7 linked regions of the Rattus norvegicus genome follow. The protein of the gene in region 6 interacts with the protein of the main gene of each other region in a biochemical or structural test. Links are inferred from orthologs where the notes say so. Each region holds a gene or a part of one and is shown on either strand. Other genes may lie near its edges. The genes, in order: Dnm1, Khdrbs1, Blnk, Pdgfrb, Sos1, Grb2 and Met.

The links.
Region 1: the proteins of Grb2 (region 6) and Dnm1 form a complex in vitro, tested with the Homo sapiens proteins (5 studies listed by BioGRID and IntAct, with this or other methods). The link is inferred for Rattus norvegicus from reciprocal best matches to the Homo sapiens genes GRB2 and DNM1.
Region 2: the proteins of Grb2 (region 6) and Khdrbs1 form a complex in vitro, tested with the Homo sapiens proteins (3 studies listed by BioGRID, with this or other methods). The link is inferred for Rattus norvegicus from reciprocal best matches to the Homo sapiens genes GRB2 and KHDRBS1.
Region 3: the proteins of Grb2 (region 6) and Blnk form a complex in vitro, tested with the Homo sapiens proteins (3 studies listed by BioGRID and IntAct, with this or other methods). The link is inferred for Rattus norvegicus from reciprocal best matches to the Homo sapiens genes GRB2 and BLNK.
Region 4: the proteins of Grb2 (region 6) and Pdgfrb form a complex in vitro, tested with the Homo sapiens proteins (2 studies listed by BioGRID). The link is inferred for Rattus norvegicus from reciprocal best matches to the Homo sapiens genes GRB2 and PDGFRB.
Region 5: the proteins of Grb2 (region 6) and Sos1 form a complex in vitro, tested with the Homo sapiens proteins (15 studies listed by BioGRID and IntAct, with this or other methods). The link is inferred for Rattus norvegicus from reciprocal best matches to the Homo sapiens genes GRB2 and SOS1.
Region 7: the proteins of Grb2 (region 6) and Met form a complex in vitro, tested with the Homo sapiens proteins (3 studies listed by BioGRID and IntAct, with this or other methods). The link is inferred for Rattus norvegicus from reciprocal best matches to the Homo sapiens genes GRB2 and MET.

The regions. Positions count from the first base shown.
Region 1 is NC_086021.1:36,029,290-36,032,789, forward strand, and holds part of Dnm1 (dynamin-1), read right to left. Parts: intron 3,375-3,500; coding exon 3,276-3,374; intron 3,172-3,275; coding exon 3,011-3,171; intron 1,599-3,010; coding exon 1,456-1,598; intron 1,342-1,455; coding exon 1,206-1,341; intron 1,079-1,205; coding exon 1,011-1,078; intron 34-1,010; coding exon of another isoform or gene 1-33. UniProt on the Homo sapiens protein: Catalyzes the hydrolysis of GTP and utilizes this energy to mediate vesicle scission and participates in many forms of endocytosis, such as clathrin-mediated endocytosis or synaptic vesicle endocytosis as well as rapid endocytosis (RE).
Region 2 is NC_086023.1:147,359,949-147,363,448, reverse strand, and holds part of Khdrbs1 (KH domain-containing, RNA-binding, signal transduction-associated protein 1), read left to right. Parts: intron 1-1,163; coding exon 1,164-1,288; intron 1,289-3,270; coding exon 3,271-3,387; intron 3,388-3,500. UniProt on the Homo sapiens protein: Recruited and tyrosine phosphorylated by several receptor systems, for example the T-cell, leptin and insulin receptors. Once phosphorylated, functions as an adapter protein in signal transduction cascades by binding to SH2 and SH3 domain-containing proteins.
Region 3 is NC_086019.1:249,767,734-249,771,807, forward strand, and holds the start of Blnk (B-cell linker protein), read right to left. Parts: upstream 2,801-4,074; 5' UTR 2,694-2,800; coding exon 2,647-2,693; intron 1-2,646. UniProt on the Homo sapiens protein: Functions as a central linker protein, downstream of the B-cell receptor (BCR), bridging the SYK kinase to a multitude of signaling pathways and regulating biological outcomes of B-cell function and development.
Region 4 is NC_086036.1:56,797,848-56,801,347, forward strand, and holds part of Pdgfrb (platelet-derived growth factor receptor beta precursor), read left to right. Parts: intron 1-438; coding exon 439-571; intron 572-1,042; coding exon 1,043-1,147; intron 1,148-1,459; coding exon 1,460-1,570; intron 1,571-2,814; coding exon 2,815-2,974; intron 2,975-3,500. UniProt on the Homo sapiens protein: Tyrosine-protein kinase that acts as a cell-surface receptor for homodimeric PDGFB and PDGFD and for heterodimers formed by PDGFA and PDGFB, and plays an essential role in the regulation of embryonic development, cell proliferation, survival, differentiation, chemotaxis and migration.
Region 5 is NC_086024.1:20,327,617-20,331,116, forward strand, and holds part of Sos1 (son of sevenless homolog 1), read left to right. Parts: coding exon 1-93; intron 94-839; coding exon 840-1,495; intron 1,496-3,500.
Region 6 is NC_086028.1:101,445,339-101,449,335, reverse strand, and holds the start of Grb2 (growth factor receptor-bound protein 2), read left to right. Parts: upstream 1-1,197; 5' UTR 1,198-1,258; intron 1,259-3,997. UniProt on the Homo sapiens protein: Non-enzymatic adapter protein that plays a pivotal role in precisely regulated signaling cascades from cell surface receptors to cellular responses, including signaling transduction and gene expression.
Region 7 is NC_086022.1:46,822,823-46,826,322, reverse strand, and holds part of Met (hepatocyte growth factor receptor), read right to left. Parts: intron 2,973-3,500; coding exon 2,812-2,972; intron 708-2,811; coding exon 605-707; intron 496-604; coding exon 359-495; intron 1-358. UniProt on the Homo sapiens protein: Receptor tyrosine kinase that transduces signals from the extracellular matrix into the cytoplasm by binding to hepatocyte growth factor/HGF ligand. Regulates many physiological processes including proliferation, scattering, morphogenesis and survival.

The sequences.
Region 1 (3,500 bases), on a different chromosome or scaffold from region 6:
TCAAAGGCCATGTCTGGGGTAAACAGCCCCGTTCTGAACGCCCGGAGCAGGAGAAGGGCACAGTGTCACTGGCTGGCACTTGTCAGGAGTGCCAGGCCAGGGTCCCTCTCCAGCCCCTGTGCCTGGGGGGAAGAGTCCTCCCACTACCCTTTCTGAGCCTCAGTGACCCCAACTTGTCAGTGGGTTGGGAAGTTCTACTGAGAGGTTTTCCATCAGTGATCCTTGGGCTAGACAACTCTGAGTCTCTCCCGTGTACCTTTTGCTTCCTCTTAAGAGTTGCTGTGAAAGGTTCTATAGCCTCAGACTCTTTGGAAAACCAAACCGAGGCCTCCTTAAGAGCCATTCTGAGAACTGAGCTTTTCTTCTTTTTAAGAGTAGGAGGGGAGGTCTTCCAACTAGGCCAACGTAGTTATCGCATTGTAAATTTCATGCCAAGACATAGCACAGAACCTAAGGAGGAGCACGGGGCTCTCCTGCCTGGTTCACAGGGGTGTCAGGTGAGAGTCTGGGTCCCTGAGGGAGGGGGGTGGGTGTCCAAAGAGCAGTCGGTATCCCCCAGCCTCCTTTATGCACCAACGGGTGGCTTAGGAGGAGAGTGGGTAAAATGGGGGGGGGGGTCCTGGGAGAGTCTAACAAATTGAAAACTCCCTTCATAAAGTGATGTAGAATGATATCTGGGTGCTATGTAATCCTACCCTTTGCTCAGTGTCCTGGGTGGCACTGGACAGAGTTGTTGCACCCATCCCTGTAGAGTGCTTCCTTGGACACCTGTACCCTGTGCCTCCAGGCCACTCTCCCAAGGACAGCCAAGGTGACCAGTGGATTGCACTCTACTGAGAGCCCAAGCCTCCCAGCCACCTCCCTTAGCTGCAGCCTGCTGACCTAGGAGCCAGAAAGTGGGGTTAAGGGGTTTGAAAACCAGGACTCAGGTCTTTACTGCCGGAGGCTCCTTCAGGCCCCGTGCCCCTTGCCTAGCAGGGTGCCGGCCCCACCCTGGTCCCAGTACATGCCTGATGCCATGAATGTTCTTGATAGCGTAGCTGATCTCCCTTCGCAGTTCCTTCTCATCAAACTCCATCTGCGGTGAACAGACAGAAGGCTGGTCAGTGTCAGCCCTGCTACTAGGAGAGACACTACTACTCCTAGAGCCCTGCTTCTAGAGAGAGACAGGGCCTACTCTCCTGCCTGGGACTGCAGGGACCTACCTTAACCAGCTCAAAAGGGAAGCGTTCGTGGAAGATCCGGTTAATGCGGGCTCCACCTGACAGTTCATAAGTGTCGATCTGGTCTCCAGAACCCTCAATGCGCTTCTCGAAGTCCACTGCAAACTGCTGGACCATCCTGTGTGGGAGAAGGGCGTGGCCTGAAGATGCAGAGGAGGGAGCCCTGGGCCCTGGAGTGGGGGAGGGGGGGCTGGAGTAGTTCAGCCCCGGGGACTGGGGCCAGGAGCCTTACTGCAGCAGGGCCTTGGTCTTGCGCGCTGGGTCATCCGGTCGGAAGTTCTTGTACTCGTCCACCTCCTTCTCAATGGACAGCAGCTGGCTCTGCAGTTTGTTCCGAAGTCCCGGCAGCGTGTCCCGGATGTGGTTGGTCAGTTGCTGGGCGTGGTGAGGAAAGGAAAGGTTAAAACCAAGGTCACAAGCTTAAATGTCCACAGGCCTAGGCATGGATGGGGAAGGAGGGGTGCCGGGAGGCTGTGTGGATGCGGTGAGGCGCGGAGCTGAGGAGGACTGGGCCAGCAGCTGTCCAGCAGTGGTTCTCGACCTTCCTGGTGCTACGACTCTTGAATACAATTAATTCCTCCTACTGTGGTGACCCCCCCTCCCCCAACCATAAGATCATTTCTGTTGCTACCTCACAATTGTGATTTTGCTTCCGTCGTGAACAGCAATGTAAACACGTGATACAGCAATGTAAATGCATGATACGCAGGATGTCTCATGTGCAACCCCTGTGAAAGGGTCATTCAGCCCCCAAAGGGGTTGTGACCCACAGATTGAGAACCCCTGCGACAGCAGGCAGGCCAGGAGCTCTGCAGGTGCTCCCAGAGATGAGCTATCAGAATCAATATGCCATAGCTCGGTTTCTGACAGAAGCCAGGAATCTGCGTCGATACTTAAAGCTACCTAGCATTGAGTGATTGAATGTTTTGGGTACCAGAACACAAATGTACTTAGGCATGGAAGGCTGAAGGACACCCCACCTTGCACTCCTCCGGGCTCCAATTATCTAAAGGTAAGTCTCAAGTTCATGTGTTCAAGTCTGCTAGGTTTGTCTATACCCTATCTGCATGAGCCATCGTGGGGACACTAAGGGGCAGGGTCTGGTCACTACTGTCCTCTTTTTCAGAAAGTAGTGTTGCAAAGGGTGAGAATGGGGCAGAGAATGGAACCCAGGTCTATGGTAGTCTTGACTGCCCCCTATACACACTCCAAAAGGGAGAACATCCCAGGGAAGCCTCTTGAATGTTTGCGGTTCCTGGATCAGCCTCTCTGGATCCTGACAAAAGGACCAGGATGTCCAGCTGAATATTCCAGCAATCTCTAGTCAGTGCCGCCATCCACACAAAATCCTGGTCTTCTATACATGCTGCGAGTCCTGAGGCTCCCCTCCACATCCCAGACAGGAAAGGTCAGCCAAACCCTGTCACTACCTCCCCGTGGAACTGGGGCAAGTGGCTTTCCTTCCCTGGATCTAGGTGGTTCTGTACTGGGTGCTAATCTATCTTGGTCATCCTTAAGATGAACTGAGATAACGGGGCTGGAGAGCTCTGCAGTTAAGAGCATCCAGGTTTGATTCCCAGCACCCTCACGACAGCTGAAAACCATCTGTAACTCCAGTCCCAGGGGGAGCTAACACTGTCTTCTGACATTCTCGGGCAGTGGACGCAAACAAAGCAGCCATACGTATAAAATAAAATAAAACTTCACAAAACCAAAACACAAACAGAAAAAGATGCATCTGAAGTTACTCTTGTTTTCCCAGGCCCGGGCCTGGCCTGCCCCCCTACCTGGTTGAGGACCTTCTGCAGGTAGGGTGTGCCCATGCGGTCAGCCAAGTGGCGGTAGGATGGGTGGGAGAGGAAGAATTTGCGCTCGGCAGCCAAGGCGGCTGTGATATCCTTCTTGCCATCTATGTCCTTCTGGCTCCGGTTCACCACGCCAATGTAGCCTATGCGGTACGGTCAAGGTCAAGGGTCAAGGTCAAGGGTCAAGGTCAAGGGTCAACCGGCCCCTCAGGAAGGGAGGTGTGGGGAAAGCCTGCCCTTTGCCTACCTCTGCGCAATGGGAGCAGCTTGTTCTCCAGCACATCCCGAGCATCTGTGCCCTCGTCCATCAGGTCCAACTTGGTGATGACCCCAATGGTGCGCTGACCTGCGAAGTGAGGATTGTCACAGCGGCTCTGGTCTTCATGTATCTCAAACCTTCCACGCTGCCCCCCTCATCCCCTGTCCACTCCCTCCCCACACAGCTGCCCCTCTTCAGTGATCCGAAGCAGAC
Region 2 (3,500 bases), on a different chromosome or scaffold from region 6:
TGTCCTCAGACACACCAGGAGAGGGCATCAGATCTCATTACAGATGGTTGTGAGCCACCATGTGGTTGCTTACAATCGAACTCAGGACCTCTGGAAGAGTAGTCGGTGCTTTAGCCATTGAGCCATCTCTCCAGCCCAAATGTGTTTCCCAGGCTGGCCTCCAACTCGTGATCCTCCTGCCTCTGCCTCCTTCAGCACCACAACTGGCAGTACCTTATTTCTTAAGAGAGAGTCTTAAGAGGTTGGGGATTTAGCTCAGTGGTAGAGCGCTTGCTCCCCAGCTCCGGGGGCGGGGGGGGGGGGGGGGGAAGAGTTCAAGAGAGAGTCTTTCTCTCAACCTGGAGCTCACTGATTTAGACTGCTGGTCAGCAAGCCCAAGGATCCCCCCTGCCTCTACAACTGCAGAGTTGTGATCAATTAGTTGGAAATAGCTACTGTACCCAGCTCAGCCTTTATAAATAAATTTTTTTTTTGTTTTGTTTTAGTTTCAATTTTTGTGCTTGCCCATGCCCATAGAGTCCAGAAGACTGTTTTGGATCCTGGAGCAGCCATAGTGGAGGTTGAAAGTCACTCTGCCATGAGTACTGAACTGATCTCAAGATTTCTGGAAGAGCAGTGTGGCTTCCTAATGTCTGAGGCATCTCTTAGTCCTCTTTGTATTTTTTTTTCTTGTTAAAGATTTTGATTTATCCTAATTTTTAAAAATTTTTCCTACTTTACTGCATTAATTTATATAAATGCATACATATATACTTTTTTTTTAAATTTTGTTTTGTTTTTTCTCCTGTCGACAGGGTTTCTCTGTAGCCCTGGATGTCCTAAAACCTGCTCTGTAAACCAGGTTGGCCGGGAGATTTGCCTGCCTTTGCTTCCTAAGTTCTGGGAACAAAGGTGTGCACCACCAATGCTTGGCCAGTACATGTTCTCGTAAGGCAAGAAACATGTAAACGAGTGGTGTAGACACTTCTGGTGAGAGTGGGAAACAGGATTCAGGTCCCATAGTGAACTTCCTACAGCTTTGGGAGCCTCATCCAGTCTATCTAAAATTAGCACATTTTGTCTGAACTGTTTGGTTTTTCCACAGCACTTCACAATAATGCTTTAAGCAGTCTTGCCAGATGACTTTATAAGTACAGAAATTAAGTTCTGTTTCTCTTATTCAGAAATTGAGAAGATTCAGAAGGGAGAGTCAAAAAAAGATGACGAGGAGAATTATTTGGACTTATTTTCTCATAAGAACATGAAGCTGAAAGAGCGGGTACTGATCCCTGTCAAGCAGTATCCAAAGGTAATGGGAAGGGGGCTCACTTCTGAGTTGATGTTGTAGGCTGATATGCTGTTGGCTGTGATGGGATGGGATGGCCATGCATCCACCTGTAAAGCTTCCTGGTGCTTGAGGTACCTGTTTCTGGGAGTTCAAATAGCAAAGTCCATAACTTATAACGTAATTATAGTGAAGGGAATAGATACTTTAGTAATCAAGAATAATTTTTTTTCTTATGTTTTGTTCAGGCTCTAGGCCTCAAGTAAAAATCTGGATCCCTTTATCAAAAGATTGAGCTAGAATTTATCTTATGTATAAGTGCCTGCATGTGTATTGTATGTGCACCATGTACATGCCTTGTGCTAAAGGAAGCCAGAAGAGTATATTAGATGTCCCTGGAACTAGGGTTACAGGTGGTTGTGAGTTGCTCTGTGGGTGCTGGGAACAGAATCCAAATCTTTTGAAAAAGCAACAGATAATAGCCATGAGCCATTTTTCTGCCTGTGACTCAGAATTTAAATCAAATAAAATATAACATATCCTCAAATCAAATGAAGTTAATTTTATTTTTATTTAATGCATATGAATAGTTTGCATGTATGTCCATGTAACATGTGTGATTAGTTTCTGAGGAAGGCAGAAGAGGGTATGGGATGCATTGGAATTGGAAGCACAGATGGTTATAAACTACCATGTAGTTGCCAAGAGCCTAACCTGGTTCTTCTTGTAGAGCAGCAAGTGTTCTTAACCCCTGAGCCATCTCCAGTCTCCTAAGAACTAGCTTTTTTTAAAGATTTATTTATTTATTATATATAAGTACACTGTAGCTGTCTTCAGATACACCAGAAGAGGGCATCGGATCTCTTTACAGATGGTTGTGAGCCATCATGTGGTTGCTGGGAATTGAACTCATGACCTCTGAAAGAGCAGTTGGGTGCTCTTAACCGCTGAGCCATCTCTCCAGCCCCCAAGAACTAGCTTTTTTAAAGAAGCGGCTGCTGCCAGACAATGGTGGCACAAGGCAGGCAGAACTCTGTTCAAGGCCAATCTGGTCTACAGAATGAGTTCCAGGACAGCCTCTGGTACACAGAGAAACTCTGCCTTCAAAAACCAAACCAAAAAAAAAACCAAAAAACCCAAGTAAAAAAGTAGATTCTTTTGGTTTTGAAAAATGGCTCGGGGTTGGGGATTTAGCTCAGTGGTAGAGCGCTTGCCTAGGAAGCGCAAGGCCCTGGGTTCGGTCCCCAACTCCGAAAAAAAGAACCACCAAAAAAAAAAAAAAAAAAAAATGGCTCAATGGGTAAAAGTTCTTGTCACCACACCTGAAGACCTAAATTTGATTTCCAGAACCCATATGGTAGGAAAGAACCAACATCCTGACCACCTGTGTGGCTTACCTGATTGGTGCTCCATTCTGGTGCACTCCACACCCTCTTGTAAATAAATGTAAATTTTTTTTTTTCTTTTTCTTTTTTTTTTTTTTCGGAGCTGGGGACAGAACCCAGGGCCTTGCGCTTGCTAGGCAAGCGCTCTACCACTGAGCTAAATCCCCAACCCCATAAATGTAAATTTTTTAAAAATGTTTATCTTCTTTCTTTTTAAAGGAAAGTAGCTAGATTTTAGTTTACCATACATGCTACCATGAGGTAGGTATATTTGTTCTGCTGAATCAGAAGTAGGAAGCCTGAGTATGATCACTAATAAAAAGAGTTTATGCATGTTATATGTTTATGTAACAGTATTAATAGTTGCAGTAAGTTGTGGAAAGAGTACAAGACTTTATCAGGAAATCTAAACTCAGGGATAGGAACTATCACTTCTAGTTATATAATTAAAGCTAATCACTAATTATTAAATACTAGGTATACTATATCTTGAGTAAAATTGGGATCTCATACATAAAAAGATTCTTTATAGGGTTGTTGAAGATCAAATGGCATGTTACATATATTTACATTTTTATAGAGGCATGTGTATTAGAATTCTATTTTTTAATTTTCTGACAGTTCAATTTTGTGGGGAAGATTCTTGGACCACAAGGAAATACAATCAAAAGACTCCAGGAAGAGACTGGTGCAAAGATCTCTGTCTTGGGGAAGGGTTCGATGAGAGACAAAGCCAAGGTACGTTCAAATGAATGCCTTCTAGTTGTCCAGTGCCTGATACGGATGCTATGCAAGCAAACATTGGGAGGTTTATTTGGGAGCTGTTGAGATACAGTGTCCCACTGTGTATC
Region 3 (4,074 bases), on a different chromosome or scaffold from region 6:
GGGTGCCTTGGGAGACTTCCATCCTCACACTGAGGATCTCCTACACACACACACACACACACACACACACACACACACACACACACAATCCTGCCTGTGTTTGCTTCCTTGGTTCACTCTGCTTCTCTTCCTGGTCATCCCTCTGCTTCCAGTCTCTCTCGAGACCTGGACATGTAGCCCCTGGGTCTGGGTCATTCCACTGAGCCCCTTTCGTGACTAGAATACTCACTGTATGGCTTTATTACAGCATTGCTGTTTGCCTGGCTTCATTTTGATCACACTCCTCTATAGGCTTTGATGGGTTTGAAAGACTCCAAACACCACATTGCAATCTGGAGCCAAGTAACTCTCTGGGCAACCTTCTAAACTGCTGTTGACCAGTCAGGAGAGGGCACACAGTCTCCCTTTTCACTTCAGTGTCTTTAACTCTAGATGCTTGGGATCCTTAAGTTCCTTGCACGCCCAGAACCTGTGCCTTCAGCTTCCCCTATGCAGTCCGTCCTGTTCATTCTGTAACAGAACAAACGCTGCCCAACCCTCCCCCGCCCCCCTGCTAACTTCTCACCAGGTCACCTATTTACAGAAAACATTTTGGGTGGTGTTTTGAGTTGTTTCGTTTACAGTCGCATTTCTTTGCAATCTGACTGCACATCTCATCAAAATGGGCTGAGTCTGGGCAGACAACTCAGTAACCAAGTGCAGGAAAACGTTGCTTTGCTCTCAGCAGATGGGCGTAGCATGTGATTATCTGCAATATAATTTTGGCCGTCTAGCCTATAATATGATTACATAATGCCCACCACCCACTCCATGATTAGACTGGACTTTGTCCCATGGGGGAGGGATCCTAAGGTGATTAAAATTCTATTGCTCTCTTTGTTTTGACTCTCATCTAGGTTCCCTGGAGCACCTTCTGAGGCTCTGGGCGGCTTTAGGTTAGGGACCGTTGGGACCTCTGCTCAGAGCAGCCCCTGCACGAGACCTTGTCAGTTCTCTGCCACATCTGACCGCTCCCTGCATGTCCCTCCTCACTGCTGTGCCCCTAACTCTAGACGCTTGGGATCCTAACATTCCCAGCACCCCCAGAACTCGTGCCTTCAGTTTAACCATGCCAGTTCTCTCTCTAACAGCACAAACACTGCCCAACTCTGTATGGTTAGACACCACCCACCTCATTCTTTTCAGCTGGCCCCACCAGACAGGACCAATGTCCCAGGGCCCTCTCACCCTATACGTTCCACTCCATGGCCTCTGCTGGGCAGAACTTTCCTCGCTAGCGCACATTTGAGACTGCGCTTACATCAGATTGTGCATGTGAGCTTGCAGCCTCCTCAGCGTGTAACCTGTCCCCCCAGTTCTCCGTCTGCTTTTTCTCAGCTGCCTCTCAAAAGCTTAACTCTTAAAGCATCGTCTTCATGAAAACTTCTCTGCAACTTATTATTTCCACTGTTTCCTCTCCACCCCTCCCCTCCATGAGATGCCCAGCAAAAGACGTAGGGTGCCTGTGGGACCTTCTGACTTCCATGTTAAGGACTCTGTGGCTCTCCTGGGCATGCTCTATAAAATGGCTGACCAGCCGATGCTGCCCTCTGATCTGGACCCCTTAGTACATCTCAGTCTGCCTCTTACCAAACCCCTTAGAGTGAGAAGACCCACATGCTGCTGTGGAAGACTGTCCTTCTACCAACTCTATATTCTTTTCTTGTCATTTGTCTCAGAATCTCCAGTTCTCCAGCTCCTAAGTATGACCTCATGAAAGTCCAAAGTTCCAGTCTGCACACGGAATATAACACGTCCTTAAACATTTTGAGTTCTGGCCTCAGAAAGTCATCATCAGCACCACTCCAAAAGACAAAGTTCTCCAAACTCAAAAATTGGGAAGTCGTCTTTGCATGGTCTCTTGACTTGTGACTTAGGCCACTGCTGGCTTATTCTTGTTAGCATATATGTATATTTTAATTGCCAACGCTGCCTTTAAAATGATTGTTGTTATCATTAGTATATGTGCATGTGTGAAATGTGTGTGGGCATGACCAGTCAGGGAATGCGCGTGCCAGGCAGTGAGTATGGAGTCAAAGGCCAGCCTTGTGGAGTTGCTTCTCTCTTTCCATTTTTATCTGGGCTGTGGGCATAGACCTTAAGTCACCAGGCCCGCATGATCAGCACTTTGTCCAATGAGCTAGTGGACTGGCCCTTAAGCACTTTTTAAAATAGATAGTCATGAGGGTTTTAGAAAGGCCTGTGGTTCCCCCAGTAAACTTAGGATGAACATCCACAAAACAAACAAGAGACAGTGACTGACAGTGACCACACATGCTCTTCACGCAGTGCACAAGCCCTTCCCCCAGCAGCATCTTATTCAGACCCAGAAAGCTGACTGTGGGTAGCATGTGTGCCATCAAATTTTCTATCTTCTTGCCTTTCCAGAGCTTCACCCTTTGTCCTATCGCTGGCAAAAACCCAGCCAAAGCAGGTCCCTTCACTCTTCCTACACATTTCTTTAAAAACCTGACCTACTTCCCTATCGCCACTGCCAACCAATTCCTCGGAACTGGTCAAGTATTCCATGGTTTTGGTACCTCTGAGCCCTTGGAGGAGCACTAAAGGGGAGAGAAGAGGAATACAGATCCAAAGGGAAACTCTTACCTCAGCTTCTGACTGGCAGGGACAGTTATTTTATTCAGTTTGTCCATTTTTCTTGAGAGGGGCTGTGGAGTCGCTGTCCAGAGGGATGTCAGCAGCTCCTGGGCTTCCTGGGGAGCAGCATGGTAAGACTCTGGCCTCAAGGGCTCATGCCACTGGAACTGACTTCTGAGAGCAACCGCAGGCTGCTGGCAAACACCCCTACACAGGGGAAGTAAAACTCGCTGGAGCACATCGCCAAGTTTCGTGTTTCTACGAGGTCATGTGATCCAGCGAGTCAGCCAGCCTGGATGATTACTGTGCGTTGTGTAAACTTCAGTAGTGAAACCTTATTGGGCATGCAAATCCCTTTTCAGCAGCTCTCTTTTATGATCAGGTTTGTTGCCAGGTTGGAATAAGCTTCTGGTTGACTGAGCACGACTTCCTGTTTGTCCCAAACCTTAGGTAGTCCCTGTTTTCAGCAGATGGCCAGAGTCATCCTGCCACTTCTCAGGTACCAGGAAAAGCTGAATAATCGATGATATCTGGATGACTGTTGGGGGCTTTCTGCTCATTTGCATAAAGCCGTGAAGAAGCCTTTTCTTCTTAGATAACAGAGACACGAATTGGACAGCTCTTGGAGCCAAGGTCACAGCAGTGGTCATTTAAACTGTGATGGGTAATTCTTTGTGCGAGGTCAAGGTCACTCAGGGGTAGAGATAGGTGACTCCATCCTACGCTATGTGGAGTCAGGAGTTGCCTCGTCAAAAGCTTGACATTCTTAAATAAAGCCAAGATATACTCAGAAGTCAGCTGAGAGCAAACCCAGCAATTTCCAAGCACATGACATCAGGAAGATACCTCCTAACTCCCCTCGGCGTCTGTGGCCTCTCATCAGACCGAACATCATGCATCCCACACCTGCCGCTGACCCCATCCAGACAGCTCTGCTGCCCTCCTCAAGAACCCCCAATTCCTCTGTCTACTCTGCAAGCTTCTGATTTAGCTGAGTTAAAGAGCAGAAAGCAGTCTAGGGCTAAGAATTTTTTTAAAAAATGAGAGCGGGGTGTTCTTTCTCCCCTTTTTACCCGAACACCCCCACCCCAACTCCTGTCACCTGGCATGTCCTGGTCACCTTTGTGAAAGGAGATTATGTTCCAAACTTTATCAAAGGACCATTGACCTGGGTCTAAAGAATGCATGGGAGTTGGGGGAACAAAGTAGAGGGACTTTGGTTATCTCTCATGTTATAGCTACAAGGCCTGGCTGAAGAGAAAGTGGGAAGGCGGACCAGGCAGAGAAGGGAGGACAGGAGATGGAGAGCAAAAGTGGATTTCTTCTCCCCTGGGTTCTTTGTTCAAACAGAAGTCCTTCTATCTTTCCGAATCCTTGACTGTTCTCATTCCTGCTCTATATCTGAATTTCCCATTCTTCAGGACGTCCGAGAGCTGA
Region 4 (3,500 bases), on a different chromosome or scaffold from region 6:
CTAAGATTTCCACATCCAAAGGCTGTGTCCTTTTGAGACCCCACAGAGACAGAGTAGGCATTTGGAATCTGTCCTATCATATGTCGCTTTCTGGGTAACCTGCTCTTTCCGTCTGAGGAGTAACTGGGGCTCAGAGAGAAACTAGTAAAGCAGCTCTAGTGAGTGTGGGCCATGCTGCCAGTTGCTGTCTAGAGGCTGCGTCCTCAGGGTTTCTCAGCCATACTTTCTGCCCCTGAGTCCCCTTAGTGAGTTGCCTCTGAGCTCACGGAGGCCTTGGTTTTGCTAGCCATCCGTTGTGTCATTTTCAAATACGTCCCTGCCCTCTCTTGGTCTCAGAGTCTCCTGTCTCATTTGCCACCTAAGGGGCTGGACCTGATAGGCTCAAGGCCAAAGATGCCCTCTGGCTGTCTCCTCTGTTATTGGTCTTGTTTCCTACAGAAACCACGCTATGAGATCCGATGGAAGGTCATTGAGTCTGTGAGCTCTGACGGCCATGAGTACATCTATGTGGATCCTGTGCAGTTGCCTTACGACTCCACCTGGGAGCTGCCACGGGACCAGCTTGTTCTGGGTCAGTTCTAAGAGGCGTTAAGTGGCAATGGGGACACTAGGACCTTCTCCCAGTGTGGCTGCTACTAGCTGAGACATAGAGCTGATATCTTGCCTTCTCTGGGTTTTAGTATCCTTTCTCTGTGGTGAAGATAAGGTGACCCCATAGCACTGAAGCCCTGGAACCCCAAGGTTAATATGGGACTCCTCCAGGCCAAAGAGGAAGTATTGGATGTAGGCCGGGGGGTCTGAGGCAGTTACAGAGGAGCTGGGCTTGCCCAAGGAGGCAGGAGGTCTTTCAGGGACTCCAGGGGAGACAGATAGCATTCAGGATCTAGAGGAGACCCAGAGGATGGGAAACCTCCTGAGGGGGAGCACAGTAGAGTGGTTGGACAGATGTGGAAGGTGACCTAAGAGAATATTCCCCAACCTAAACAGAAAGATGGGATGAGGGATCCAGCTCCCAGGAGCTGAGGGGTTCTATCCATCCTAGGACGCACTCTTGGCTCTGGGGCTTTCGGACAGGTGGTGGAGGCCACGGCTCATGGTCTGAGCCACTCACAGGCCACCATGAAAGTGGCTGTCAAGATGCTGAAATGTGAGTCTCGAAATGTGAGGTAACCCACCCCTTCTTCACACCCAGGATCTCACTTGGTCCTACCCTTCCTTGTCCTTTTAGTTTCTTCTGAAGGAGCCTGGTCCTGAGGTTGTGGGACAGAAGGGCTCCTCACTGTGACCTTTTTGGGTGCTTCCTCCTTCTCTCCCCTCCTCCCACCTTCTTCCCTCTCCTATGTCCACCCTAGGACACTAGTGGTACAACAGGGTGGGGCAGAGGAAGCAGAGTAGGCCCTGGCAGGGCCTCTACACTGCCTCAGTGGCCCACCCAGGCTGAGTCCCTCTTCCCCCTCAGCTACAGCCAGAAGCAGTGAGAAGCAAGCCCTCATGTCGGAGCTGAAGATCATGAGTCATCTCGGACCCCACCTGAACGTGGTCAACCTGCTGGGGGCCTGTACCAAAGGAGGTACTGAACCCATGCCCCGGAGGATTCTGGGGCTCCTCTCTTTCCTGTTATCCCTCAGTCCATCAACAACAGAACACCCCCAACAGAGTGTCCACATACTGCCGCCCAGGGCTCTTATTTCACTGTCCTGGATGGGCTCAGTTTTAGAATCTCCGACTCACAATACCTTCACAGTGAAGAGATCCCTCAGGCTACTAGTTCCTGCAGTTTTAGAATTCAAGTCTTTTCAGATTTTTTTTTCAGGTTCTTAGATTTTATGTGAATGGGTTTGTTGTTTTGTTTTGTTTTTGTTTTGTCTGTATGTCAGTGTGTGTGTGTGTGTGTGTGTGTGTGTGTGTGTGTGTGTGTGTGTGTGTGTGTGTCTGGTACCTGAGAAGGCCAGAAGAGGTCATCGGATCTCCTGAAACTGGAGTGACAGATGCTTGTGAGCCACTGTGTAAATGATGGGTGTTGAACCAAGGTGGTGTCATGAACAAGTGCTCTTAACAGCTGACCATCTCTCCAGTCCCCCTTTTCATATTTCTACAATACATTCTGAAAACTGCGAGAAAGTAACAACTTCTACAACACAGAGACAAGCAGAACCATGTACTAACCAGGAACTGGTTTTGCTCGCATCAGTGTTGGAAGTCACTCTGCCAACTGCGATTGTTTGAGGGCCTGGTTACCCACTGGGCTATCTACATAATAATAATCATGAAGTTATTGCCCTTTGCAGCTGCTTGTTGTGAGATCTGGGATTTTCCTCAGTATTGTGTAATCAGTCTAAATACAGAAGTACATCGTGCGCGGACTGCTGGCTGTGCCTGCAATGACTATATTTCAAAAGTGTTGTTTTCATCTGTTAGATGGCCGTAAGTGTGTTGAACTTAAGTGTATTCAGCACATTGTGCTAACCATCACGTTCCCCTGCTCTGTGTAGACCAGCATCTGAAGTGTGCACCAGTCTGAAAACAGCCACGGCAACTGGTATCATAGGCTTGCTACATGCTGAGCCCTCAAAGGCATCTCAGGGGTCAAGGGCGGGTGTCAGCCCCTGGCCAGATGGGCAAAGGAAGCACCCTGGAGATTAGCAGCTTGTTTGCACCCACAGAGGCAGGGAAGCAACCCAGGTCCGCAAGGTGCCAGCATCTCTGCCGTCTTGCTGTGTCTCCACACCACCAAGACTCCATATTGGCTTTGTGGCCATGCTGGGAAGACTGAGGCCTTCCTCAGAGTCTGTCCCTGAGCCTGTCCTTCTGCAGGGCCCATCTACATTATCACGGAATACTGCCGTTATGGTGACCTGGTGGACTACCTGCACCGAAACAAACACACCTTCCTGCAACGACACTCCAACAAGCATTGTCCACCCAGCACTGAGCTCTACAGCAACGCCCTGCCGGTGGGGCTCTCCCTACCCAGGTATGGGGGAGGCAGCACCCAGTGAGTGCCTGCCAAGCATATGGGAACTCCTTGTCCCAAGGTGCAAGTGTGGGCCCTGGGGCAGTCACTTCCCAGAGGCAGCACTCTGACCGGATAGTAATGATGGTCATGGGGGGTGGGGGGAGTGCCATTTCAGTGAGCCAGGCTCCATCCCAAGCCTTCTGTTCATGTGACTCCTGGAACCCATGGAGCATCCTTGTGTTCTAGGTGTCTTGTTCTCTTGCCTTAAGGACATAAGGGACAGAGAGCCAGGCTCCCTGCCGTAGTTCCTCTGCCTTCTACAAGCCAACCTCTCCAGTACCCTACCAGTAATCCAACTCTTTCTGATGACTTCAAAAGGGATACTTGTTTTTTTGTTTTGTTGTTTGTTGATTTAAAAGGCAAAGACAGGAGTAACTTTGGAAGGGTACACACAGAGAATGCGGGGACGCGCTCCTGACCTCTCTGACACTGCTCCATTCCCTTGCACAATGTGTTAGTTCCATTCCTCCCTGGGGGTTAAGGC
Region 5 (3,500 bases), on a different chromosome or scaffold from region 6:
GGAGTGTATGAAACAAGCAATAACAGCCCTGCTTAATGTCCAAAGTGGCATGGAAAAAATTTGCTCCAAAAATCTTGCAAAACGAAGACTGAGGTAAATATTCCCATTTTAAAGTTTCTTCCTTTCTATCCTGAAAGTTGTGGTACAAATTCAGGGGCCTTAGCTTCCCTCCTTGAGTAAACAATAAAGAAAACGGTGTTAGTGACAAGCTTGGTCTCTCAGAGGAAGTGACATCAAAGCCAGGAGAATTTGTTATTGTTTGAAAAACCTTTCATATTTGTGCATTTTCCCTGCTTGCTCCCAGACAAGGCCTCCCGAGGAGCGGCTGGTAAGCTGAAGGGGACAGAGCAGTGTCCCGGGCAGATCTGCCGGCGTCATTGTTATGTCAGAGGCAGGTTCGTAGGCTTGGTTAGTTTGGGGATTGTATAACTCAGACATTGATGCAGGTAGCAGATCTGCTTTCCCCTTGTAACATGTGCTTCTATCTCTGGGTCTTGTGCATTTAAAAACACTTACAATTTGCTTTCATATCTCATTTTTTTTTTACTGTGTTGGGCTACTTTTTTATAGTTATCTTTCTAAGTGTTTAATATTCAAGGCAGAGATAATTGTTTTGTACCTGACTTTATATAGTTCAACATCACTATTCTTTTTATAACTCTGAAAAATTCTGTGCTGTTTTAGCTTTTATAGGTGCGTAATTACATGTATTATTTGGGGAATTAGTAAACACATGTCAGTGATGTTCTAAGTTGTCTTTTACCCTGCCACCTTATCTGCATGAACTCTATATAAAGTCTGTCTTCTGTGTACTAATAGCATCTTTTCCTTTACCCCAGTGAGTCTGCATGTCGGTTTTACAGCCAGCAAATGAAGGGGAAACAACTGGCCATCAAGAAGATGAATGAGATTCAGAAGAACATTGATGGTTGGGAGGGGAAAGACATTGGACAATGCTGCAATGAGTTTATAATGGAAGGAACTCTTACACGTGTAGGAGCCAAACACGAGAGACACATATTTCTCTTCGATGGCTTAATGATTTGCTGTAAATCAAATCATGGGCAGCCAAGACTTCCTGGTGCTAGCAATGCAGAATATCGGCTTAAAGAAAAGTTTTTTATGCGAAAGGTACAGATTAACGATAAGGATGACACCAGTGAATACAAGCACGCTTTCGAAATAATTCTGAAGGATGGAAATAGTGTTATATTTTCTGCCAAGTCAGCTGAAGAGAAGAATAACTGGATGGCAGCCCTGATATCCCTGCAGTACCGCAGCACGCTGGAGAGAATGCTGGACGTTACAATGCTGCAGGAGGAGAAGGAGGAGCACATGAGGCTGCCGAGTGCTGACGTGTACAGGTTTGCAGAGCCCGACTCTGAGGAGAACATTCTGTTTGAAGAGAACGTGCAGCCCAAGGCTGGCATCCCCATCATCAAGGCAGGGACAGTGGTTAAGCTGATTGAGAGGCTCACGTACCACATGTACGCAGGTGAGACTCGGGGGAGGCTGCTTCCTGACTGACTGACTCCACGGGTGGGTCACTGTGCCTGAGGTAGAAAACTAACAGCAAGCAAATCCTTCTCACGTAGAGGAGTCGGCTAAACCTTCACTCTGTTCTCTTTGAAGCTTTTACCTTTTCTATCATATTTACAAAAGAGAAATGGTCACTTGTCTGGTGTTGCCCAGTAAAAAGCAGTAGAAAGAAAACTAAGCATCAATGTGATTGTCTAAAGGTTTCCACCCCTGTATTTTCTTTTCTTATTTTATAACTGGGCTACAGACTAAAACATCAAATATTTACCCATCATCAAAATTGTGCTGGTGGCAGAAACACGTATTTCTTACTCTCCATCCCTCCATCCTTTGGGGAGGCCTGGAGGCCATTCACATTGTCAGTATTTTGTTCTTAATGTTACTGATGCAAACGGTTACCTTAACAGGTTTTAGAGAAAACCTAGAAGGATGCTAGGTAGAATTAAATACAGTGGTTGAGAGGTAAAGGGCATACTACGCCATCTTACATGGTCTGACACATAGTGGGGAGTTTGATAACTGTCATCTCAGAATTGGGGTGGAGCAGATAGCACTGAGCTCACACTTTGCTCTGTCACCTATCAGGCTCCCGTTACATCCCAGAACCATAGTCTTCTTCTCAAACATTAACATCAAATGTATACCACAGTGTGTTGTCAGAAAGCACACACGAAACACTGGATGTGAAAGCTATTTCTGAGTTTAGATGGAAATTTTCAAACTCTTTTCTTTAAAAGAAATGTGTGTTTAAAATTATAATATGGTATTCTTAGATACTAGAATGTGAAATTTAACCTCTATCCCCATTCTTCTCATTTAAATACAGTCCTATTTTTAGGAAGTGTAAGTTTCTGCGGAAAATATTTATTTTCCCGCTTTTAAAATGTCCTCTAAGTGAGTTCTGTTTCCTTTGGAATCTATTCTGGTGCTAGTGAGATTGGCCTTTTAAAAACAGCCATTAGTTTTCCCACTTTGTAAACAGTGTCATTTAACAAGGCCTTCCCTTCAATAACAAGAGCTTCATATGGTTGGAATTACCAAAGGGAGAGCAGGTAAACTTGAGCACTATTTTTTATTAGTGATTTAAAACCACTTTTGAATGTAGCTGCCATTATCTACACATCTCTGGTCTATAAGCCAGAGTTTAGTTTTGTTTAGCTTTTGGACATCGACAGTGTTTTCCAAAGGTGAGTTGTGAGTTCTTACAGTGACTCACTCGGCCTCTCTGACTTACATTTTCAGTGGTCGCGCACAGGGGCTGGGGCACGTTGAGCAGTCTGCGAAGCCTCGTCTGGGGTTCTGGGTTACTATAAACTCTCACCCAGGGACTATAGTCAGGGTGTTTATTACTCAAGAATGAAGAAGTATTAAAATTTTTAAAAGAAAATGGAAGCTGCCCAGTAGTTACATAAAAGGTAAATAGATTACCTTTCTTGTTACATACAAAGCTGTTTAAAGAGCTACAGTCTTTAGTAACTATGAACTAGCTATCCACACAACCATCAGCCTTCCCTACACTGTTTAAAATCAGAACACATAACAGTACTTTGCTATGGTTTTCAAGTAATTTCTCAACAATAAAAGGTCAGGTTGTCTATCCTGCTACGTTGCCTTTGTTTGTAAATCCTTGTGAATTTAAAACCTGTTTGCTTTATCCTCATATGGTTTGCTTAATTTTTATGAAAAGAACAAAGGAAAAATCATACAAGTTCAATTAAAAGAAATGAGCCTGTGGATTGACAGCAGCCCTGCAGTTGCAGGGACTGACTTGGCCCTGAGTAACCTTAGAGTGTTTAGAGTAACTCATCCTATGAATTTTACCTCAGTGCAGCAAGGTGTTCTTTTTTCTATTAAAAATTAAATTTATTAATTACTTATATATTGTAAAATTTACAATTTGCTTCTAAAACATTTCTGTAATTTTTAAGCTACTGTATTTGACAGAAATAATTCATAATTAG
Region 6 (3,997 bases):
TCTATGTACTTTGCATGGCACAGAACACGACTTTCTCACGCCTCCATCCATCCCTCTGTTCTTCTGTGCTATTCCGTTTGCCGGCTATGGGCTTACCCTGGCTCCTGTGCTGTGCAACTCCTACTCACCCTCAGCACTCGGCGGCACATCACCTTCTTTGTTAAGTCTTTTATGCAGTGGGCAGAGGAACAGAGCCAGCCTTTCTCCATCTTTTTGGCTTCCTCAGCATTCCCCCAAAGTACTATGTGTAAGTGTTATAGTTTGTGTGTGTGTGTGTGTGTGTGTGTGTGTGTGTCTGCACGAGGGTGTGTGCAGGTGAATGCCGGTGCCATCAGAGGCCAGAGGCACTAAATCTCCTGGAGCTGGGGTTACAGACAGTTGTGAACCATGGGATGTGGGTGCTGGGAACTGAAATCAGGTCCTCTGGAAGAGCAGCAAGCGTTTTTGTTTTGTTTTTTTGTTTTTTGTTTTGTTTTTGACCTCTGAGAGGTCTCTCCAGCCCAAGACATTACTTGTTTACTCTTCTGGTGCTTCTCTCGATTGATTGAATCGCTTAAGGGCCAGGATCTCTGCTCGTCGTTTCATCTTCTTTACCCAGCACAGTGTTTACCTACAGTAGGTATGTAGTTCACTCGGTGAACGGACTAATCAAACAGTTCATCAAACACTGCAGGTTGTACGAACCAGATTCCCAAACATTTCTAGATCTGGTCCTCTATTTGGGTCGAACCATCCTGAGATCTGCCGCCCCTCGACCCCTCCTCGAGGCCTCTTTGCTTTGCTTCGATAGAAAGAACGCTATTCGAGTGTGGAAAGCGCTATTCCGCTAGAGCAGAGCTGTAATTCACTTGCTCCGGCACGCAGAGGGTTACAACGGCCCAGGGGCGGAGCCGAGTCCCTGCCACCTGCTGCGGGGCGAGCTGACGCATGCGCGAAGTCCCCCTTAGGCTACCTGCCGGGCGGAGCGGAGGAGGAGCGCTTGCGCTCTGGGCCTTTTCCGCCGGGGAAAGTCTCGCGGGGGCGGGGCGCGGCGGGGCGGGGCCGCGTGGGGAAGTTCTCGCGGGACCCTGGCGAGGAGCGGAAGCTAGGCTGCTCTGCTGCTTCTGCGATCGGGCGGCGGCGGGGCGAGCCAAGCTGCGGCGGGGGACGGCGGTCTGGGCAGCGGGCGCCGCAGTCAGGGAGCAGCAGTGAGGTTGGCGGCCGCGGGCGGCAGCACAAGGCGGGCCAGGCCGGGTGAGGGAGCGGACGGCACGTCGCGGTGAGTGCAGGAGAGCGGGCGGGAAGTGAGCGGGGGCTCCGTCGTCCCCGCGCCGCGCCGGGCAGCTCGGGCCCGGTCTGCTCCGGGCTGCCGGGGCGGGCCGCTCGCGGGTCGGGGAAGGCTCGGACCGGAGCGCAGCGGCTGCGCAGCCGTCTCCTCGTTTCCCCTTTTGGGGCGCTTCCTTCCTGGTGTCGGTCTTCCTCCCGCTCGGGGCAGAGACCGGGCGAGCCGACGATTGAGGTCCGGTGTGGCGGCCGTCCGGCTGGGCGCAGAGGAGCCCGGAGCAGCCGAGAGGCACAGGGTGCTGCTCTGAGTCAGGCTGACTGAGCCCGGGAGGCGGGGGATTCGGTGCCGGCTGCTAACGTGGTGATTGATGCTCCTTTGACCTGCAAGGCAACCACGTCACCGTCTCTTGGCATCTTGCGGTCGAATTGTGTGCGGGAATCCACCATGACTTAGAATGATTGTTACCCGGACCCACCGACTGGTCTTTGCGAGAGTTGGGAGCTTCTTTTGTAGAAGTACTTGAGAAAAAAAAATACTTGTTGTGGGGGGAAAAACAGCAGCAGCTGATGGGAATGCTGGCAGGAAGGATTTTCGCGGAGAGAGCCCCGCTGGTTCATGTCCGTTTGCAACGCTCTAGGTTGTGTGGGTTTGTAAGAAAGTGATTTTTAGGGTGTCTTCAAAAGCTATATAGCAGTGCAGTTTGCCGGGAAGCCGAGGCGCGTTCAACGTCCGTCTTTTGATGGTGTTGACATTCAAAAAGAGGCTAGAGAAATTGGCTTTCTTTTGACTTCTTCGCCTCTCTTTCACTTTGCCCTGCAGTTTTTGTCCTTTCAGTCTCTATTCCACTCCACTAGGGACACGAAGTACATTTTTTTAAAAAATTTATTTATTCTATGTATATGAGTATACTGTAGTTTTCTTCAGACACACCAGATCCCATTACAGATGGTTGTGAGCCATCATGTGGTTGTCGGGATTTGAACTCAGGACTTCTGGAAGAGCAGTCAGTGCTCTTAACCGCTGAGGCATCTTTCCAGCCCCACGAAGTACATTTGTAACGCCAGTCATTGGCGCCTCCACCCCCTTTAGAAAATAATCTACTTCCCCTTCTTGTTCTTCCTCCGCTATAATTTTCGAAGTTTCTGCCGGTTTGAGCACTGTTAATTTTCTCAGTCGTTCTAAGATCCCCTTTTTGGGGGGGGTAGATACCTTCCCTTGTTTGCATTTCTTTTTTTTTTTTTTTTTTTTTTTTGGTTCTTTTTTTCGGAGCTGGGGACCGAACCCAGGGCCTTGCGCTTCCTAGGTAAGGGCTCTACCACTGAGCTAAATCCCCAGCCCCGTTTGCATTTCTTTTAGACTGTCCTCTGTATTCTTCAGCCAGCCAGAAGGGCTACTAAGGAGCCATCGGGGTGCTTGAGGGGGTTTAAGTTCTCCCCCTGGGAACTAGAAAACCCAAAGGACTGAATTCATTGCTAAGTAATCGATAGTGCCATCAGATCACAAGTGGATTTGCCTGTTCGCTTGTGCTATTTGTATTTTGGTGTTTTCTTCACAAGGTATCCTTTTGTGCCTACTATTTTCCTTCTTTCTCTCTCCTGTTTCTCTTCTCTGTTAGTAAGGAAGATTTTGAGCCAGTTTGGAAGCTGAAAGACTCCCCCCCTCCCTTTTTTTTTTTTCGGAGCTGGGGACCGAACCCAGGGCCTTGTGCTTGCTAGGCAAGCGCTCTACCACTGAGCTAAATCCCCAACCCCGAGGTCAACTATTGTTAAATGAGAAATCATCCGTGGAGTTTGTGAAGTAAGATAGCTTGAAATAGAAGAGAACTTTGGATATTTGTGAATTAAGTCCACCTTCCTCTCCTGACTAATGATATAGTCCTAACCAGGCTTTTTAAAATGATTTTTAATTTTGTATGTGCTTGAGTGAGTTTTGCCTGCATGTATGTATGGAAACCGTGTGCATGCCTGGTGCTGTCAGAGGCTAAAGGAGGACAAATACCTTGAACAGGAGTTACAGAGGGTTGTGAGCAGCCATATATATATGTGTGTTAGGAATTGAACCCAGGTCCTCTGGAAGAGGAGTCGGTGTTCTTTAACAGCCTGAGTTGCTATTCTCTCTAGTCCAATAGTTTTAAGCACTACTCACTGGTACTGAGGGTTTTTTCCATGATTTCTGTTATGTCGCATGTATACAGCAGCCCTTATGGAGAATTATGAATTAGGAGACAGCAAGACAGAGCTGCCACTCCCGGACAGGCATTTGGTGTCGTTACCTGCTGACCTCAGAGGCCTACACCTTTGGCCACGGTTATTGAGATTTATTCTTCTGTGTTTGTCAGAGTTGATTTTCCCGAGTTGTGCCAAGTCTAACATACATCATTTTCATTTTGTTCAGACGTAGTGCACTGAAATGCAAATTTTAAAATTTGCTTAGTGCTTCCTCATTTTAGCCTTGATTCTTAAAATTTGTATGTATAGACATAACCTGCCAATTAAGGAAGGGCTGGAGAGATGGCTCAGTGGTTAAGAGCACCGACTGCTCTTACAGAGGTCCTGAGTTCAATTCCCAGTAACCACATGGTGGCTCATGACCATCTGTAATGGGATCTAATGTCCTCCTCTGATGTGTCTGAGGACAGCTACAGTGTACTCATATATAATAAATAAATAAATAAATCTTAAAAAAGAAACCTGCCAATTAAAATTTTTTTATCCAAAAAAATTTTTTTGAGAC
Region 7 (3,500 bases), on a different chromosome or scaffold from region 6:
TTTAAATCTAAGCTCACCCATCCCGTCCCTCAGCATACCTTCTTCATCTCTGGATCTTGATAGAAATGCTTATTTTGATGTAGTGCCAATGACCAGAGCTTTAAGTTCGTTATATAGCTCAGATAAGACTCACCACAATGAAGGAGTGGATAGCAAGACAAAACTCAGAGTGGGGATTAAGCAACAGAAGGGGAAGGATAGAAAAATCAGCAAAAGGACCCAGTTGGACTTGGGAAGAAGAGAATCACCAGGAGAAAAATCATATAAAAACATCTTTATGCTCTGTGCAAATAAATGCAAAAGAACTTGGCTTGGCGTATTAGGCACAGATATTAATACAACCAAAAAGCGACAATACCTTTTTAAAGTACATGTTTTCCCTCCGATTGAAATGTGTCTAGAATTGCCGCTGTTGAGGTATTTTCCAGTCAAAGTGAGTAAGGTGCCTCCGGCATGAGGACCATACCTTGGAGAAATACTTGTTATTACAGGATCCTGAATGGGTGGCAAAACCAAAAAGGAACTGGTTAGCTCTATTCTTTATGCAGATGAAATAAAAAACCAAACATCCCGGGTCATGACTAAAAGCAAAGCTTGGACTTACCACATAGGAAAACGCACTGTACTGTGTTGTCTCTCGACTGTTTGAGACGATCACAGACACATTGAAGTGCTCACTCATCGCGGGGCCAACTGTGCATTTCAACCTGCAAAGAAAGAGCAGAGCTTAATATGTCTCAAAGCCACACGCATTTTCTGATTTTCTGGTTTGGCTGCTTGTCGTGATGGGACCATTAACTCCAAATTGTGAGCTCATGATTCCAAATGGTAAGCTCGGTTTCATGGAAGTCATAAGGCTGAAAAGTCATGTAATCCTATTTTCTGAATGGTGGTGCCAAACTTTATATCGACCATTGTAGGACCCTTCATAGGTCACCAGTGCAGACTCACCAGCTAAGAAGTGCATGATAACCTAAGTCTGTGAAGTTATGTGTTTGGGTGTTTGGCCCATGTAGCATAATGACTGCTGCTATGTCAGCAGCATGTGAAGTAATGTGCCAGCTACGAATAGAGTAAGCCAGCTCTCTTCACCAATTTATGCCAACAACTATATTTTCTACGACTGTAGTCGTCAGAAATCTATTTAAACCACTTAAAGGCTAATGCTACTGGGACAGTTTTTCTGTAAATTATTATGGTTGTGCCATGTTGGGGACACAAGAATGCATGTAGAAGCCAGAGGCCAACCTTGGGTGTCACTTCTCAGGGGCTGTCTACTTGGTTTTACAATGTGCTCTCTCTCTGGGACCTGGAGATGCCTGATAAGGCTAGACTGGCTGACCAGAAAGCTCTAGGAGTCTTCCTGTCTCTGCTTCCCCAGTGCTGGATTATCAACAGTGAGCACCACCACACTTAACTTTTTACTTGGGTGCTGGGTATTGAGCTTGGATCCTTATACTTGATTGACAAGCGCATTAGCAACTGAGGCATCTCCTTGGCTACCAATAGTGCCAATTTTTATCCGTAATCTTATATAGCTATATATATAATAAATATATATTTATATAATAAAATTTAAATATAATTTGTTTTTACAGACTTCTAAAAAGAGAGAATGAATTGTCCTTTTTCTTTATAGCTCTTAATTCACATTCTAATAATTAAGAGTTTTGGAGAACAAAGGGATGCTTCTAGAGTAAACTCGCTTTTGCCTTTGGCCTAGCAAGCTTGACATTGACTGGTTTTGGTGATTATATTAAGGTCCTTTATGATGACCATGGAATGGAATCTATATTAGATAATTTACTTTATAGAACAGATTCAACCATAATGATTCAACTGTTGAAACTTTGGTTGTTGCTACTGCACTCCAACAAGTAATCCCTGGGTTACCTGGTCACTGTGGCATTTAGGGATTTTAGAGGGAATGTGTAGAATACAGGAGACTAAGCACAGGTCTTGATCAGAGAACAGAGCGCTGATCTCTGGCTTCGCTCAGGTAGGCTGTACCCTAGTTCTCTTAACGTTAGGCAAGAATGGAACTGACACCTCCTAAGATGTGGGGGACACCCAGATGGCAGAGTGCCATGAATATGACCTGAATATACATTTAAGCTCATCTAAAGAGTCTAAAAAGTGCTTGCCACTGTTCCAAGGACCAGCAGGTGAATCATGAACAGAGGACAGACACCCAGCTGTTTACTGATGTTCATGAGAAACCTTTGTGGGGGGCAACGTTTGAGGTCTCAAGGGGAAGACCCAGTCTTTCAAACTGTACGGGCAATTTCTGAAGAGGCTTTACTTTAGTAGTTCAAACCTCCTAGATGCTGGCCCAGCGGGATGGAAGACCAATTACCACACAAACCTACTGGTCTGAGTTTGAGCCCTGGGACCTACACTGGAAGGAGGTAACCAAGTTCCTGAAGTCATCTTCTGGCCTCCACACACAATGCTACATGTGCAACTGTACCCACAGACACTCGCCAAACACCCTAAACTACAGTAATAAACACAAATATTAGACTCCAACTCTGTATAAAGATTAAATCGAGTGAACAAGTCTAAAAACAACTCATGGAAGCTGAATTGCTCTAGGCCATACCACCTTTTCCTTTCTCCTAGTCTGTTAATAAAATGAGATTACGAGGAGAAAACCAAACACGTCTTCAAATGCTATGACAGGTCAAGACCCTTGTGAATGCATAGATGAACATGTTGAACACTATTTTTTTTTTCTTCTTCTCAGAAAACCCAATTAAAGAACCCGGCCTATCTCCCAAGGCCACTCAGCAAAGTCACCATGCTCCTTACGTATTTGTCGTGCTCTCGCTTAAGGTCAAGGTACAGCTCTCGTTGCCAAGCAGAACTTTGGTTTTCCTTAAATCAAATTTATTATTCTTCTTGAATCCAAAGTCCCAGCCACATATGGTCAGCATTGTTCCTCCTTCGAGGGGTGCACTAGTGGGGAAAACCTGCAACGATAAACCCAGCAGACTGTGATCATTTTCCACATCGTGGAAACCAAGCAAATGGTGTATTGCTTTTTAATATTTATTTTAATCCTGAAAAAGTCACACACACGTGTTTCTGTGTGTGGCTTTGCGTCTGTGAGCACACTGACTATGGAAGCCGGAAGAGTGCATTTGTTCCCCTGATCCTGGCATTACATATGTAACGCGGGTTCTAGGAACTAAACTCAGGGCCTCTGTTGAATACCTTTCTGACTCTCTGAATCAAGCAATTTATGTCTACCAGTTTGTATTTCTTAATAAAAAATTTAGTTGCTTTAAATATGGTGAAACTTTGATCTAGAACCTACATGAAGTTTTGTAATAGTACAAATTAACACTCTCTTTCTGGCAAAAAAAAAAAATCTAAACTGAGAGATCCTCAGATCAGTATTGTAGTGATGTTTCTAATTCTACTTATCAACATTATTTTATGCCATTGTAAAGATGTCTTTCCTCAATGTGCAATGTTCAGTGATCAACAGGCTAACT